Linked DNA regions of Tamandua tetradactyla. The protein of the gene in region 2 purifies or fractionates together with the protein of the main gene of each other region. This does not show direct contact. Links are inferred from orthologs where the notes say so. Each region holds a gene or a part of one and is shown on either strand. Other genes may lie near its edges.

The links.
Region 1: the proteins of STK25 (region 2) and PPP2R1B purify together in Homo sapiens (affinity purification with mass spectrometry; 3 studies listed by BioGRID and IntAct, with this or other methods). This does not show direct contact. The link is inferred for Tamandua tetradactyla from reciprocal best matches to the Homo sapiens genes STK25 and PPP2R1B.

The regions. Positions count from the first base shown.
Region 1 is NC_135334.1:29,613,537-29,620,868, forward strand, and holds the start of PPP2R1B (serine/threonine-protein phosphatase 2A 65 kDa regulatory subunit A beta isoform), read left to right. Parts: upstream 1-4,314; 5' UTR 4,315-4,362; coding exon 4,363-4,476; intron 4,477-5,251; coding exon 5,252-5,342; intron 5,343-5,742; coding exon 5,743-5,843; intron 5,844-7,332. UniProt on the Homo sapiens protein: The PR65 subunit of protein phosphatase 2A serves as a scaffolding molecule to coordinate the assembly of the catalytic subunit and a variable regulatory B subunit.
Region 2 is NC_135329.1:80,165,880-80,173,067, forward strand, and holds the start of STK25 (serine/threonine-protein kinase 25), read right to left. Parts: upstream 3,072-7,188; 5' UTR 2,880-3,071; intron 2,500-2,879; 5' UTR 2,376-2,499; coding exon 2,346-2,375; intron 1-2,345. UniProt on the Homo sapiens protein: Oxidant stress-activated serine/threonine kinase that may play a role in the response to environmental stress.

The DNA of each region.
Region 1 (7,332 bases), on a different chromosome or scaffold from region 2:
TGAACTTATAAAATCAGTGATTTTAAAACATAAGTGTACATGAGAATCAACAAGGGTGCATATTAAAACGTCTGGTACCCTCTCAGGAACTCATTCAGTAGGTCTGGTGTAGAGGCCAGGAATCTGCATTTTTTAACAAAGTAGCTTAGGTAATTCAGATGGCCAGTAGACCGAAATCCCCAAAAGACTGCTTTGGACTTTGTTTTTGTTTCCATTTGGCCCAGTTTTTTAAATAGTCTCTTTTTTTTCTCCTGAAGTCTGTTTCAGTCACTTTCTTTATTGAAGGATTTATTAGCATCTCTAGGTTTATTACATGTGTCATTCTCACAGCATCATGGTAACTAGAGAGAGAACCAAAGGTTGTTAGCCCCTTTTTATTGGGGGGCTGGCGTATAGGCATAGGAAGAGGAAGGTTATGATGGTTATAATGAGTCAGAGGCAGAGGTGGGAATTGAAGTACAGAACTGATGACTCTCAAAGCAGGCAGTTTTATGGGGCTTTATTTTCTTGGCCCATGATTTCATATTTAATCATAGTTATTCCTCAGGACTCCAGCTCACTGTGCTTGGGTAAGCAAAGCATATTTAAGTTTTAAACAAAATAACATCATCAGTGTGCCAAATTTGTTAGTATATGTAGTTAGTATATTAGCATCCTAGCTGCTAAAATAAATACGATACAATGGCTTGGTTTAACAACAGGAATTTATTATTAAAAATTCAGAGGCTAGGTACTTAAAATTAGGCCTAAGAGTCACCTCCAAGAGAACCTCTTTTGTTGCTCAGATGTGGCCTCTCTCTCAGCCAAGACAAGCCAACTCACAGCCCTCCACCTCTTTACATGGGACATGGCTCCCAGGGGTGTGGACCTTCCTAGCAATGTAAGATAGAAATCCTAGGATAAGCTGGGACTCAGCATCAAGGGATTGAGAAAACCTTCTGGACCAAAAGGGGGAAGATCGAAATGAGACAAAGTGTCAATGGCTGAGAGATTCCAAACAGAGTTGAGAGGTTATCCTGGAGGTTATTCTTACATATTATATAGATACCACCTTTTTTAGTTAAGGTGTAATGGAGAGGCTGGAGGGAACTGCCTGAAAATATAGAGCTGTGTTCCAGTAGCTATGTTTCTTGAAGATGACTGTATAATGATATAGCTTTTGCAGTGTGACTGTGTGATTGTGAAAACCTCGTGTCTGATGCTGTTTTTATCTACCTTATTGACAGATGAGTAAAACATATGGATTAAAAATAAATAAATAATAGGTGGAACAAATGTTAAAATAAATTTAGTAGATTGAAATGCTGGTGATTGGTAAGGGGGACAAGTAGGAGGTATGGTATGTATGAATTTTTTTCTTTTTATTTCTTTTTCTGAATTGATGCAAATGTTCTAAGAGGTGATCGTGGTGATGAATATACAACTATGTGATGATATTGTGAGTTATTGTTTATATACCAAGAATGGAATGACCATATGGTAAGAATGTTTGTGTTTGTATGCTGTTATGTTTAAAAAATTTTTTTAAATTAAGAAAAAAAAAATTCAGAGGCTAGAATGGCTTGTTACCTCCCGGGGTCAGTTTATTCTGGCTGTCTGGCAATCTCTGGGGTTCCTTGGCTTTTCTATCACATTGTAATGCCCATGACAGCATCAAAATTCTCCTTTCTCTTCCCAGTTCATTGATTTCCAATTTATCCCTCTGTGGCTTCTTACTGTTTGTCAATTTCCTTTGCTTCTGTTGGATTAAGGTCCACCCTCATTGAGTTTGGGCACAGTTTATATAATAACATCTTCAAAGGCTCTATTTACAAGTAGGTTAATACCCACAGGACCAGGGGTTGGGACCTGAACATGCCTTTTGTGGGATGGTGGGGAGGGCGACATGATTTAATCCCCAACAAGGCTCTTCTAAACTTGAGCTACTATCTAGAAGATAATATGTGTGAAACTGATCTGATCTACTTCTCTGTGCTTGCTTATCATTTCTGAAGCCTTTTTACATAAAGTATATGGGAACAGATTTCTCCTCCCTCTACCAAAATGTCCTTCTGATCCTCTTCTAACTGTTAAAATCCTCTGTGTCCTCAAACTTGAGTAGTATATGGATCATTTTTAAAGTAAAAAAAATCCTAAAAATTCTTGATTTAAATTATTTTTTATTACAGTGTTACTTAGCTTTACAAATACAAATCAGGAATATCAAGTCCTTTTATTTACCTTTCTTCCAACTGAAAAAAAGTAAAATAAAACACGTTTACAATTAAATACAAATGAAACCACAAACTAGTAATATTTGTATTGATAATATAGTAACTTAACATGACAAATGATGCTGTTTTGCTGAAACTAAACCATACCTTGTATCTTAACCATGGTATTGCTTGGCAAAGTTCAGCTACTTTTTTTTTTAATTAAAAAAAATTTTTTTAAATACCAAAAAACACCAAATAAACTCAAACATTCGTAACTTTTGATCATTCTATTCTACGTATATAATCAGTAATTCACAATATTAGTTCAGCTATTTTTGAATTTATATGCCTATGACACCAAGTGACCATCAGTATCCGAATTTTCTTACACTTTCCTCTGTTAGAAGTACTGAGACTATGCAGACCCGTGATGTCATTTGGTTTTCACTTTCTGCATAAAAGCATCAATTTTATTTTAAATCTACCTCTGTTCCTTTCTTACTATCCCAGAAGAATAAAAAGAGCCCTGAAACACACAGGCAAATGTAGGTGCTGAAATTGTATGGCAATCCTAGGATATAAGGTGGTCATCCAAGTAATCCAAAAATTACTTATGCAAATCTAAAAATAATTATCGAAATGAAAACAAATTAAAACCCTAGAGAATACATCTGCAGGCCTAATGTAAGAACACTGTTCAGGTACTTTGGTAACTTTTCTCTACTACCAAAAACCATGTTTACTATGTTTACTTCCAGGGACCCTATGTTTAAAAAAATTTTTTTTTCTCCTAAGTTGCATTTATTAATTGTTAATCAGACACATAGAATTACCATTCCAGAGCTTGTGATCAAGCATATGTGGTTCTCACTCTGAGTTGCTTAAATTTCAGTTCAAAGAAAAAAAAAAAAGATGTTTCAGTTATTCTGTGCTCCCTTAACAAGGGTAAATGAAAATTTTACATTAGGTTTTGTAATAAGAAAGAATTCAAAAACCTTACCTCTAACCATTGCTGCTTTTGAGAACTGTTGGAAGTCTAGGAAGGCCATTTTAGGTTTTTCCTGTACAAGTCAAATAGCCACCCCACCCACTTTGAAGAATTAGGCTTGTCCTAGTTTTATTTCTAGCATGTTAAGGAGCTAAAAAAATAAGGAGAAAGAAAATACAACACAAGGTTATACCATCTCAGTCTTTATCCTTTCTTCTGATTTCATTTGTGCCCCCAGGCCTCCTCCCTCTATCATTTTCACATTCAGCTTCCTTCAGGGTTTTAACATTATTGTATTACAGTTAGGTAGTATTGTGCTATCCATTTCTGAATTGATGCAAATGTTCTAAGAAATGATCATGATGATGAATATACAACTGTGTAATGATATTGTGAGTTATTGATTATACAACAAGAATGGAATGATCATATGATAAGAATGTTTGTGTTTATATGTGGTTATGTTTCATAAATAAAGAAAATAAGAAAATACAACACAAGGGACAATTCCAGATCCAAGATTGAAAAGAAACACAAAAACAAGAAAGCAGTATGTTTTTAACAGCTTGCGTAGAGAAAGTGGAAAAAATACTGACTGGGGAGTTTGGAAGGCACTGTTCATTTTCTCTCACCGCCTACGTCATCTGCCTTATAGAGCAGAAGCTAGAATCAGTAATCCGGGCGAATAGGCCTTAGGAGGAGGTTTTGCAGACGTCTGAGGCTGGAGAAATTTGTGCTGGAGACCCCAGTTGATAAGGGCCAGGATGAAAGCAGAGAAAGGAGTCCAAGTCTTCCCCTCTCCCTCCGGCCTTGGGAATCCTGTTTGGCATGCCCGTGTGTTAACAGAGCTCAGTAAGGATCACTTAGGTAGGTCCCTGGCCCCTTCAGACCACAACGAGATGGAAGAATCCCAGTTCGTGCGTCTCTGGGCTGAAGTAACGGCGCGGGGCATCCAGTCAGCGAAACCTTCTGGAGTTCAGATGTACAGGTCTTGCACCTGGGGTCCAGTAGGAACCTCCGCTAGCCGGCAGGAGAGATTCGGCTTCCGGGGTTGGGTTCCGCCGAGCCCGCGCGTGGGCCTTGGCTCCTCCTCCTTGGGCCTGGGCGCGGGGCGGGGCGGAGTAGGGGCGGGGCCTGGGCGCCGAGAAGGCGGTGGCGACCCGCGAGAAGAGGAAGAACATGGCGGGCGCGGCTGGGCCCGGCACCGACTCGGGGGCCGCGGGCGGGGATGGAGACGATTCGCTATACCCGATCGCGGTTTTAATCGACGAGCTCCGCAATGAAGACGTGCAGGTACTGAGCTCGGCCGGGGAGCTCAGATGGGCAGGGCCAGCGCCTGGTAGGCAAGGGGGAAGGCCGGAGACTCGGAGCAGAAACTTGAGGGTGAGGAGAGGAAGACTTGCGAGGGGCTGTGGTGGCCCGGCCTTTCCGGCAGCTCACCGACTCTTACTTCTCCCGACCTCCTGAGGCGCATCGGCCCGCGCCCGACCCGGTCTAGGCGGTTGTCGGACTACCGGCTTCCTTCCTGGACGCCTCTTCCGGACGGTGCGGTGGAAAACGCTGTTCTGCCTGGGGCCGGCTCCCTTGTGGAGCCGGAGGAAGGGGTTCCCCGCCGCGGGTCGCAGGGTGCCTTAAGGGCCCCTTGGTGAGCAGATGAAATGCCTTCCCAAGGATTAGAAACTGGCCGGGCTTGTTGGGTAGACAGATCCAGGATGGTTGAGTTAGCGTATCATCTTTGATGGAACTTTTCTTTGAACATTCAGGAGTTGTATTCGACCGTTTCACTTAACCACTGCTAAATTCTTTTTAAAATTATCTCACTTCCTGGGTATTGAATTCTTTTTCGTTTATTTTTTTTTCTGAATGTTGCTCCTAGGAAATCTTGCTCTGGCTAATGAGGCCATGCTACGGTGCACCAGAGGTTCCTCAAGGAATAAAATCTAAATTGAGTGCTTTCTTCACTCTTACCCTGTCTCATTATAATCACCATCTTGCAACTATGGCTTTCTCTTTTGGTCTAAATTGCAATCGTTTCTTTACTTTGTTATTCCGTATTCTTTTTAAAAAGCTCCGTCTCAACAGTATTAAGAAGTTATCAACAATTGCTCTAGCACTTGGAGTAGAAAGGACTCGAACTGAACTGCTGCCGTTCCTTACTGGTATGTGAATGTTCCTTTAAAGAAGGGCATGGGTATTTCCATTTTCCAGTGACTTCCAAAACCTTGTCTGTTTTTTAGAGTTGGTAACCACAATATTAACTAATCTGAGCCGGGTGCTTTCTGTGTAAAACAGTGTAAAGAATATTGTAATGTGGTCATATGTATTCAAACATTAATTATTTAGCTAGTTTAAAATTGATCATTGATATGGGAGTATTAATTTGTAATTCATTCTGTAAAACATATCCAGGAAAACTTCCTTAATTGAGGAGAAGGAAGGAAATCCTGTTAAAATTGTGACTTGCTTATCTTATTAGCCATATATTGTACTCCAAGTTTTGTATGAGTATCTGACTTTGGACCAGCTACCTTTTGATGAATACCTTGTTGTCATTTCCAGATACAATTTATGATGAAGATGAGGTGCTGTTAGCTCTTGCTGAGCAACTGGGAAATTTCACTGGACTTGTTGGAGGTCCTGACTTTGCCCACTGTCTGCTGGTGAGTGCTTATATGCTCTCTCTACCCTCCTTTTAGGACGTCTGCAGTATAAATGATACGTTGTTTGGTGATAACCTCACTGTAGCACCGTGTGCAGTCTCTTTGTAGTCACTATAGCTATGGAGAGAACAAATAATGTAAGCAGTTTGGAGTCAGTCATCCCTTTCTTATTTTTTCTTACCTGTGAATACAAGAACTTCTTCTTTCCTTTTCTGTCTCTATTGACTTTTTTATTATTTTAGAGGAGGGGCAAGAAAGGATTTGATTTAAAAAAAAAACAGCTTTATTGAGATATAATTCACATACCATCCCCTTCACCCTTTGAAAGTATATAACTCAACTCAGTGGTTTTTACTTCCTTCACAGGTTTGTGCTGATTTTTTAAAAAACATAATTATGTGATTTTTTTCATTGTAAAATACACATAACAGAATTTTCCATTTTAACTATAAAGTTAATTCACTAGAATTTTAGTACATTTACAGTGTTGTGCAATTAATAACCACAATCTAATTCAAGTTCATTTTCATCATCCTAGATGGAAACAGTGTGCCCAATAAGCAGTTATTCTTCATCCTTTCCTCTCCCTAACCTATTCTGCTTTCTGTCTCTGTGAATTTGCCTATTCTGGACATTTCATATAAACAAAATCATATAATATGTGTTCTTTTGTGACTGGCTTCTTTCACTTAGTGCAGTGTTTTCAAGATTCACACATGTTGTAGCCTGTATCAGTACTTCATTTCTTTTCATAGCCAAATAATATTCCATTATATGGGTATACCACATTTTGTTTATCATTCATCAGTTGATGGACATTTGTGTTGTTTCCATCTTTTAACTATTGACAGTACTGCTGCCATGAACATTCATATACAAGTTTTTATTTGAATACTTGTTTTCAGTTCTTTTATGTATATACGTAGGAGTACACTTGCCAGGTCACATAGTAATTCTTTTTAACTTTTGGAGGAGCTGCAGAATTGCTTTCTATACTGGTTTGCACCATTTAACATTCCTACAAACATTTCACAAACAGTGTATAAGGTTTCTACTTTCTCTGTTTCCTTGCCAACACTTTTTTTTTTTTAATAAGAACTATCCTAGTGGGTGTAAAGTGGTATCTCATTGCGGTTTTGATTTATTTATTTTTGTTGTTTTTGATTATGCTTCCCCACCCCCAAATTTGAAGTCTTAATTTTCGTCCAGCTATGTGACTATTTGGGAGATGTTTATTACCTTTTTGTCTTTGTAGTGTAACTTTTGCTCTGACTTATCTTGTGAATTTGATTTCAGTTCAATTTAGCTGACATTTATTGAGCACCTACTATATCAGACACAGAAATTATAATGTTATTGTTAAAGAGAATGTAATGAAGTCTCTGGTCTTTGCCCTTATATATAAGCAAATGTAATTATTGTGTAGTGTTAAGAAGAAAAATAGACCCACATACAAGATACCTAAGTAACAAAGGAGAAAGAGATTAAT
Region 2 (7,188 bases):
AGGACCAAGAATGAGCAACCAGCATGGAGAACCAAGCCCCACAATTTCAGGGCATCTCAGAACGCCAACTTCTCACTCAGGGACTCACGGCAGCTATTTCTGAAGCTCTTGAAAATAAACCGGGGGCAGATATTTCTCTCAGCATCTTAATCATATAGTCATCACACATAAAATGTCAAAAAAGAACCCAATAAAGGATGATATCGTCCATATTTTAAGACTTCAACTTCTGTGTGAGACTAAAGGAAGAGATTTTTATTTGGTGCAAAATTTATATTTTGGGTAGTGCATTTCCTAACTTAACTTGTATGGTAAGTTTAGCTGAACACCATAAGTACATAGAATCTTGAACAGGGCATAAGATTGTGTTGGTTTGTCCAGGTTAATGCGATGCTCTGATAAATACCAGAGAGATTTGGACAGTGAATAAATATTTGCAAAGTCCCGTTGGGGGAATGGGGAGAAAGGGGGAAATATTCAACTTCACCATTTGGAGAACTTCTGATATTCTCACAAGCAATGGGGACAACCAAATCAACAGGCCAAGCCCTCAATCTTGGGGTTTGCCCCTACTAAACCTATTCCTGCAAAGGATAGGCTAAGCCTGCTTAAAATTAGGCCTAATAATCACCCCCAAAGAACCTCTTTTGTTGCTCAAATATGGCCTCGCTCTCTAAGACCATACAGCAAGCGATTTACATCCAGCGGTGTAAATCTCCCTGGGAAATCCCAGGATGAGACAGGACCGGCATCGAGGGATTGAGAAAGCCTTCTTGATCACAAGGGGGAAGAGAGAAATGAGACAAAATAGTGTCAGTGGCTGAGAGATTTCAAACAGAACTGAGAAGTTAACCTGGAGGTTATTATTATGCATTATATAGACATCCCTTTTTAGTTTATGGTGTATTGGAGTGGCTATCAGGAAGTACCTGAAACTGTGGAGCTGTGTTCCAGTAGCCTTGTTTCTTCAAGATGATTGTATAATGATATAGCTTTTACAATGTGACTTGTGACTGATTGTGAAAACCTTGTGTCTAATGCTCCTTTTATCTAGGGTACAGAAAGATGAGTAAAAAACATGGATAAAAATAAACAAATAATAAGGTGAACAAAGGTTAAAGTAAATTGGGTTGATGGAAATGCTAGTTGTCAATGAGAAGGAGGGGTAAGTGGTATGGTATATATGAACTTTTTCCTTTCAATTTCTTTTTCTGGAGTGATGCAAATGTTCTAGAAAATATTCATGGTGATGGATACACACAGTGATGCAAATGTTCTAAAATATGATCATGGTGATGAATACACAACTATGTGATGATATCGTGAGTCACTGATTGTACACCATTTATGGAATGTTTGTATGTTTGTATGTCAAGTTTTGTCAATAAAAAATATTAAAATAAATAAAAGAACCTAAAGCCTGGAGGCTTCATTCCGCACCCATCAGCAAACCCAATCCCCTGTGACCCCAGCTGGTTCACAAAAGCCTGCCCAGCAGTCAAGCAGCCGGTTCCCAGCGTTCCCAGACAGCTCCCACCTCCTGCAAGGGCCCTGAGCCTGGAACTGAACTGCACTCCCGCCTCTGCCTCCCATACAGAAGCTCCTGTGGGCGCCCCTGCACCCCTGATGGAGCACTCACGCTGGTGGGATCACGCTCCATTCTCTAAGGGCTGATTCCAATACCCGCCAACAGTCTAAGGCTGCCCCAAGCTCGCATTTACGAACAAAACCAAATGGCTAGATGAAGAGAAACGTGGCAACCAGAAGGGTCCATTCTACTTCACCATCACCTTTAAATCACACCTTTCTTTCAAAGAACAAAAAAATTGGGGGGGGGGGGGGAGCGAGGGAAGGGCGGGTCCAGTGGAAAGCTCCCACCGCGGGACCGGCAGAACCGTTCTCTGAAAACTGCACGGCCCACCTGAGTCCGCAGGTCCTGTCGGGAATCACCTAACGTCTGCAACTGCACACTGCGGTCAGGAGAACCATTAACCAAAGATGAATGCCAGATGTGATCTTCCAGGTGCCCTCCCAACGCCACGGGAATACACCGCACCTTCTGCCTTCCCTAGGCGTGGAGAGGGCCGAGTGAACTCCCCGGCCACATTTCCGAACTCCTTAGCCCGCGGGGATCAGGGTTCTCCCCATGCCTGTCCAGAAGTGCCGGAGCCCAGGCCCGGAGCGCCCCTAACCTTCAAATCTTCCACTCCCGGGTGAAATATAAATTCCTTAGTACAACCAACAACGCGCACCATCTCGATCCGCACCGTTCCTCGTACTCGGCAGCCAAGGCTCTTGTCTCAGGGGGTTCACACCCACATACAACCCAGAAACTTGCTCCTTACCTGGTTGGCAAATCCCCTGAGGTGAGCCATATCCCCCGCGGCGTCACACCATTCGCCTGCAACCCGAGGAGGCCTCCAGATGGCCGTCTGGATGCTCAGGAACCCGGCTCGCTCGCGAGGTTCGCTTCAGTCCACTGTGGCGGGGACAGCAGGCCTGCTCGGGCTTCCCTGGGGTCCCCGTGGCCGGGCCGCGCCCCACAGCCCCACCCGGCCGTCTCCACTCCCCTCCTGCAGACAGTGCCTGCCTCCGCGCCCCCGGCCGGTCCTGCCGAACGCCAAAGCACCCTCCGAGAGCCTCGCCGGCCGCGCACCCCCGGCTGCACGGGCTTCTCCCGCACCGCATCCCCCGGCCCGCCTCACTGCAGGGTCCTCCCTGGGCCCTGCCCGCCCCCGGTACCCGCCCCCCGACTCTCCTCCCACCACGGAGCCAGCCCGGCGGCCTCCCTCCGCCCCGCCCCGCTGCTCCGGGCCCCCCACCCTGTGTTCGGCCCCCTCCCCAACCGCCAGGGGAAGCCCTCGGGGCGGCGCGCCCACCTCCGGGGGGCTCCATCCCGGGCTCCCCCGGCCCGTTCCGCAGCGCCCGCGAAAGCCCCCACCCGCAGCCTCGGTCCGCCTGGGGAAGCCCGGGCCTCTCAGCCCCGAAATAAAGGTAGTTGCGGCGGCGCCGGAGAATGGCCGGCGGCGGGGAGAGATACGCGCGGCGTCGTGGCCCGGCCGCAGTGCTCTCTGGGACACCCAGTTCCACAGCGCGCCCTGCGGCGGGGCGCCGCGGACGGTGGACTACAAGCCCCAGCAGGAGCCGGGGCGGGCGGGTCCGGGAAGGGGTCGTGCGCGAAGGCACGCCCGCGAGGCTCGCTGGGACTTGGAGTCCCTCTTCCTAAGAAGCTCCGGACTCCGTCTCCCGGCAGGCCGCAGGGCAGGCGGCGGCGTCAGGACGGCGGGGGCGTCTCAGCCGGGCCCTCCACCCGCGTCCTGACTGGCGTTTGTCGTTCGCAGGCGCCGTCTGGGCTTCGCCTTGGTAAGCCACGACGGACCCTTCCCGAGCGCAGAGCCAGCCACGCCCTCGTCCCGTCCCCGGTCCCGCCCTGCTGCCCTCCCCGGGCGCCCGCGCCCTGCTAGTTCGCCTCGGGATCCCGATTCCCGCCCGGCCCTCAGCGAGAACCTCTTCCCAGGACGGCCTCAGTATCCTCCCACAACCGGGTTCGCGGCCGCGGCTCCCTCAGACCGCTGAGAGGCCATCCAGTGTGATCGCTTCCCTCTCCTGCCTTGGTTTCTCCATCTTGGTTTCCCTCCAGGACCCACCTGATGGCGCGGGGACACCTGCGGACAAAGCCCGTCGCTGAGGGGCGCTCATGGTCTCATGGGCTGTTGGCGCCCCCAGCTGACGCACCCCTGGCCCTGGACGGTGACCCGCCCTGTCCAGGGGCTCAGGAAGATCTGCGGAAGGGAGGACAGAGTGCGCTTCCCAGACAGGTCGCAGGGCCAGCGGCTGGACGGCCCCAGGGTGCGGACGTCAGGGCAGCCACCACCACTGCCCGCGAAGCCTTGGAGGCCCGCGCCGTGCCCCTGGCAGCGCCTTCCTAGTGCACCCTTGTCCTGTGGAAAAGGCTTGTTTCTTCTGCCTTGGGTGGGCCCTCCAAGACCATCTGGACACCCCGTGCTCCTGCTGTCCCTCAGAACGGAGCTGGTCCTCCTGAGTTACTTCAGTCTCCTAAGTACAGGGGCTTCCTGGCTGTGCATGGAAGGCCCCCTGCGCACCTGTGTGCAGGTCACTCGTGGCCACCTGATCTTTCACGGGTTGTGTTATTTACCGTCAGCTAAGCACTGGCAAGCAGGCTGTGCCTACATCCTCCCCACACAGGGCAGGCATGCAGTGAAAGTTGTGGAGTGAATGTGTGAGTGCAGGAAAGTAATATGTATGAATAACTCCTCTTAGATCCATCAGAGAATTGAGGGCACAGGGCAAACTACCCGAAAAACTGGAGAGAGAGGCAGAAATGTCTCAGCTTATCAAGGGCAGGAACTGCAGCAGAGCCACCCTCAGCAGGACAGCTTACAGGGTAGTTGACTACTTCAGGCCAATGAAGATGGATTAGCATGAGAAAGAAAATTTCCAGGGGGTCCCAGGGAGACCCCTACACTTTCTTGAAGTCTGTCTCTAGGGGTACCACCAAATTACTGCTGTGAAGATGAGAGAAAAAAATCTCCTCATGCTTCCAGCACAAGGGGAAGGGACCATTGTGAATAGTGTCCTTGTTCCCTTATAAATAAATGTCTGTCCCCCGGGGAAACTCTCTTACCAGCACCTCGCCAACACAGGTCTTACCAGAGTTGGACAACCCCCAGAGGGAAATAACCAACTCCAGCCTCATCTAACCTTCTGCAAGCAGGGAAGGAAGGACCCAGAGCTAGTCCACTTTAGCCTTCCTGCTTCACCTAAGGGGTCAAAACAAAACAAAAAATACAGATGAAAAATACTGGGTCACAACCTAGGGTCACAGGCTCACTAAAAGACCAAGACTAACTGTAGGACTCTTCTTGTCCCACATCAGTAGGGCTCCTAGATAAGAACAGGGATTATAGCTGAAAAGAACTCCAGAGTTCTGGCCCTATTTAAGGAGAAATCTCCAAGGAAATACAGAGACATAAACAAGGACCCTAGAGGAAATTTTAGCCTTTGACATCACAGCTACAGCAAACAATAAACACAACCTATCTTCTAGCTTGATACATTTAAAATCCTCAGTTAAAGGCCTATTCACCTCTGTTCCTATTGCCTCATACATCATGTCCAACTTTCAATAAAAAACTACGAGTCATGCCAAAAGGCCAAAAACACAGTCTAAAGAAGCAGAACAAGCATCAAATGAGACTCAAACATGGCAGAGATTTTGGAATAAAGTGGAAATTTAAACTATAATTTATGTGCAGAAAACTCTAGTGGAAAAAAGTGAATGATATGCAAGAACAGATGAGTAATGTAAGCAGAAAGATGCAAACTCTAAAAAAAGAAAATCAAATGCTAGAGAACCGCACTCTGATCAAAATGGCAGAATGAGAAGCTACAGGGCTCTGTGTCCACTACAGGAGATTTGAACAACCAGCAAGAACTGCCCAAAGCAGCTTTCTCAAAACTCCAGAAAACAGTTAAAGGACTGCACTAAAAGAGCAAACACCAAATCAAGAAAAGGGGATCTTAAAACCAGTAGAATCTCGTGGTACCCTGGCTGTCCTCTCTCCACCCTCCCTAGCATGGCCCTGGCCCATGCTCCCACTGTGGATCCCTGGTCTTCGCTCTGGAGGGAGCTGAGTCACCCTTGTGCACATGCTGGGAGCAGGGGGGTCTGGCCCAGTCTCACTGGTGGTGGCCTGAGGGACTCGCTGTCCCAGAACCTGCCCTGTGTGTAGAAGGTGGGTCACAGAGTTCTCCTACAGGGCTGTGGGGACCAGGCCAGTGGCTGCCTGGGGCAGGGGACTGCTCGCTGAACAACACACAGTGCAGGGCCAGGGACTGTGAGGAAACTGTTCCTTAAAGAAGAGGGGACATTCTCAGCCATTTAAACAGAGGGACTCCTAGGGCCATTCACACATGCCTGTGACCTGTGCATATGCTGAAAGGATCAGGGAGGTCCCTACACTTTGGCCTCAAACTATTCTCTAAACTCATTATCTAGGTAAGCTCTGAAAGAGAGCACTCAAGCAAGTCAGTCTGCAAAGACTGGGAAAGGTATTTTCTTTAATTTCTTCCATTTTTTTTTGTTTGTTTATTTTTTGTTTCTTATATTTTGGTTAGCTCCTGGCATTCAAGGAAAGCTCGGATCCAACACTACCTGGATACAAGCTTAAAGAATAGTTGCCTCAGAAAGTAAATTCCAGCAGTAACACACTAAAACATGAAAATGTCCAGGTTTCAACAAAACATTCAAAGAAACAGGAAGCAATGTCCCAGGCAAAGGAGAAGATTAAAGTGCTGGAGACCAACAATGAGGAGGACCAGACCTGGTACATACCAGACGAAGACTTAAAAAAAAAAAAAAGAAAAAAAGTTCTAGTGAGAAGCGGCTGCAAAACCGAGCACAGGAGGCAGGAAGCCTAGTGCAAGCAGTAGTTGGGCACCATGGCGGGGATCACCACCATCGAGGAATTGAAGTGCAAGATCTACGTTCTATAGCAGCAGGTCAGTGATGCTGAGGAGAGAGCCGAGCACCTCCAGCGGGAAGTGGAGGGAGGAAGGGAGGCCGGGGAACAGGCTGTGGCTGAAGTGGCCTCCTTGAACTGAAGGATCCAACTGGTTGAAGAAGAGCTAGACTGCTGAGCGCCTGGCCACTACCCTGCAAAAGCTGGGGAAGCAGAGAAAACTGCTGAGGAGTACGAGAGAAGTATGAAGGTTATTGAAAACTGGGCTTTAAAAGATGGAACTCCAGGAAATTCAACTCAAAGAAGCTAAGCACATCACAGAAGAGGCAGATCGGAAGTACGAGGAGGTGGCTCGTAAGTTGCTGATTATTGAAGAGGATTTGGAACGCACTGAGTAAGGAGCTGAGCTGGCAGAGTCCCGTTGCCAAGACATGAATGAGCAGATCGGCCTGATGGACCAGAACCTGAAATGTCTGAGTGCTGCTGAAGAAAAGTACTCTCAAGAAGAAGACAAATATGAAGAAGAGATAAAGATTCTTACTGATAAACTTAAGGAGGTAGAGCGAGTTTGCTGAGAGATCAGTAGCCAAGCTGGAAAAGACAATTAATGATTTGGAAGATAAACTGAAAACCACCGAAGAGGAGCATCTCTGTACACAGAGAATGCTGGACCAGACTCTGCTTGACCTGAATGAGATGTAGAACA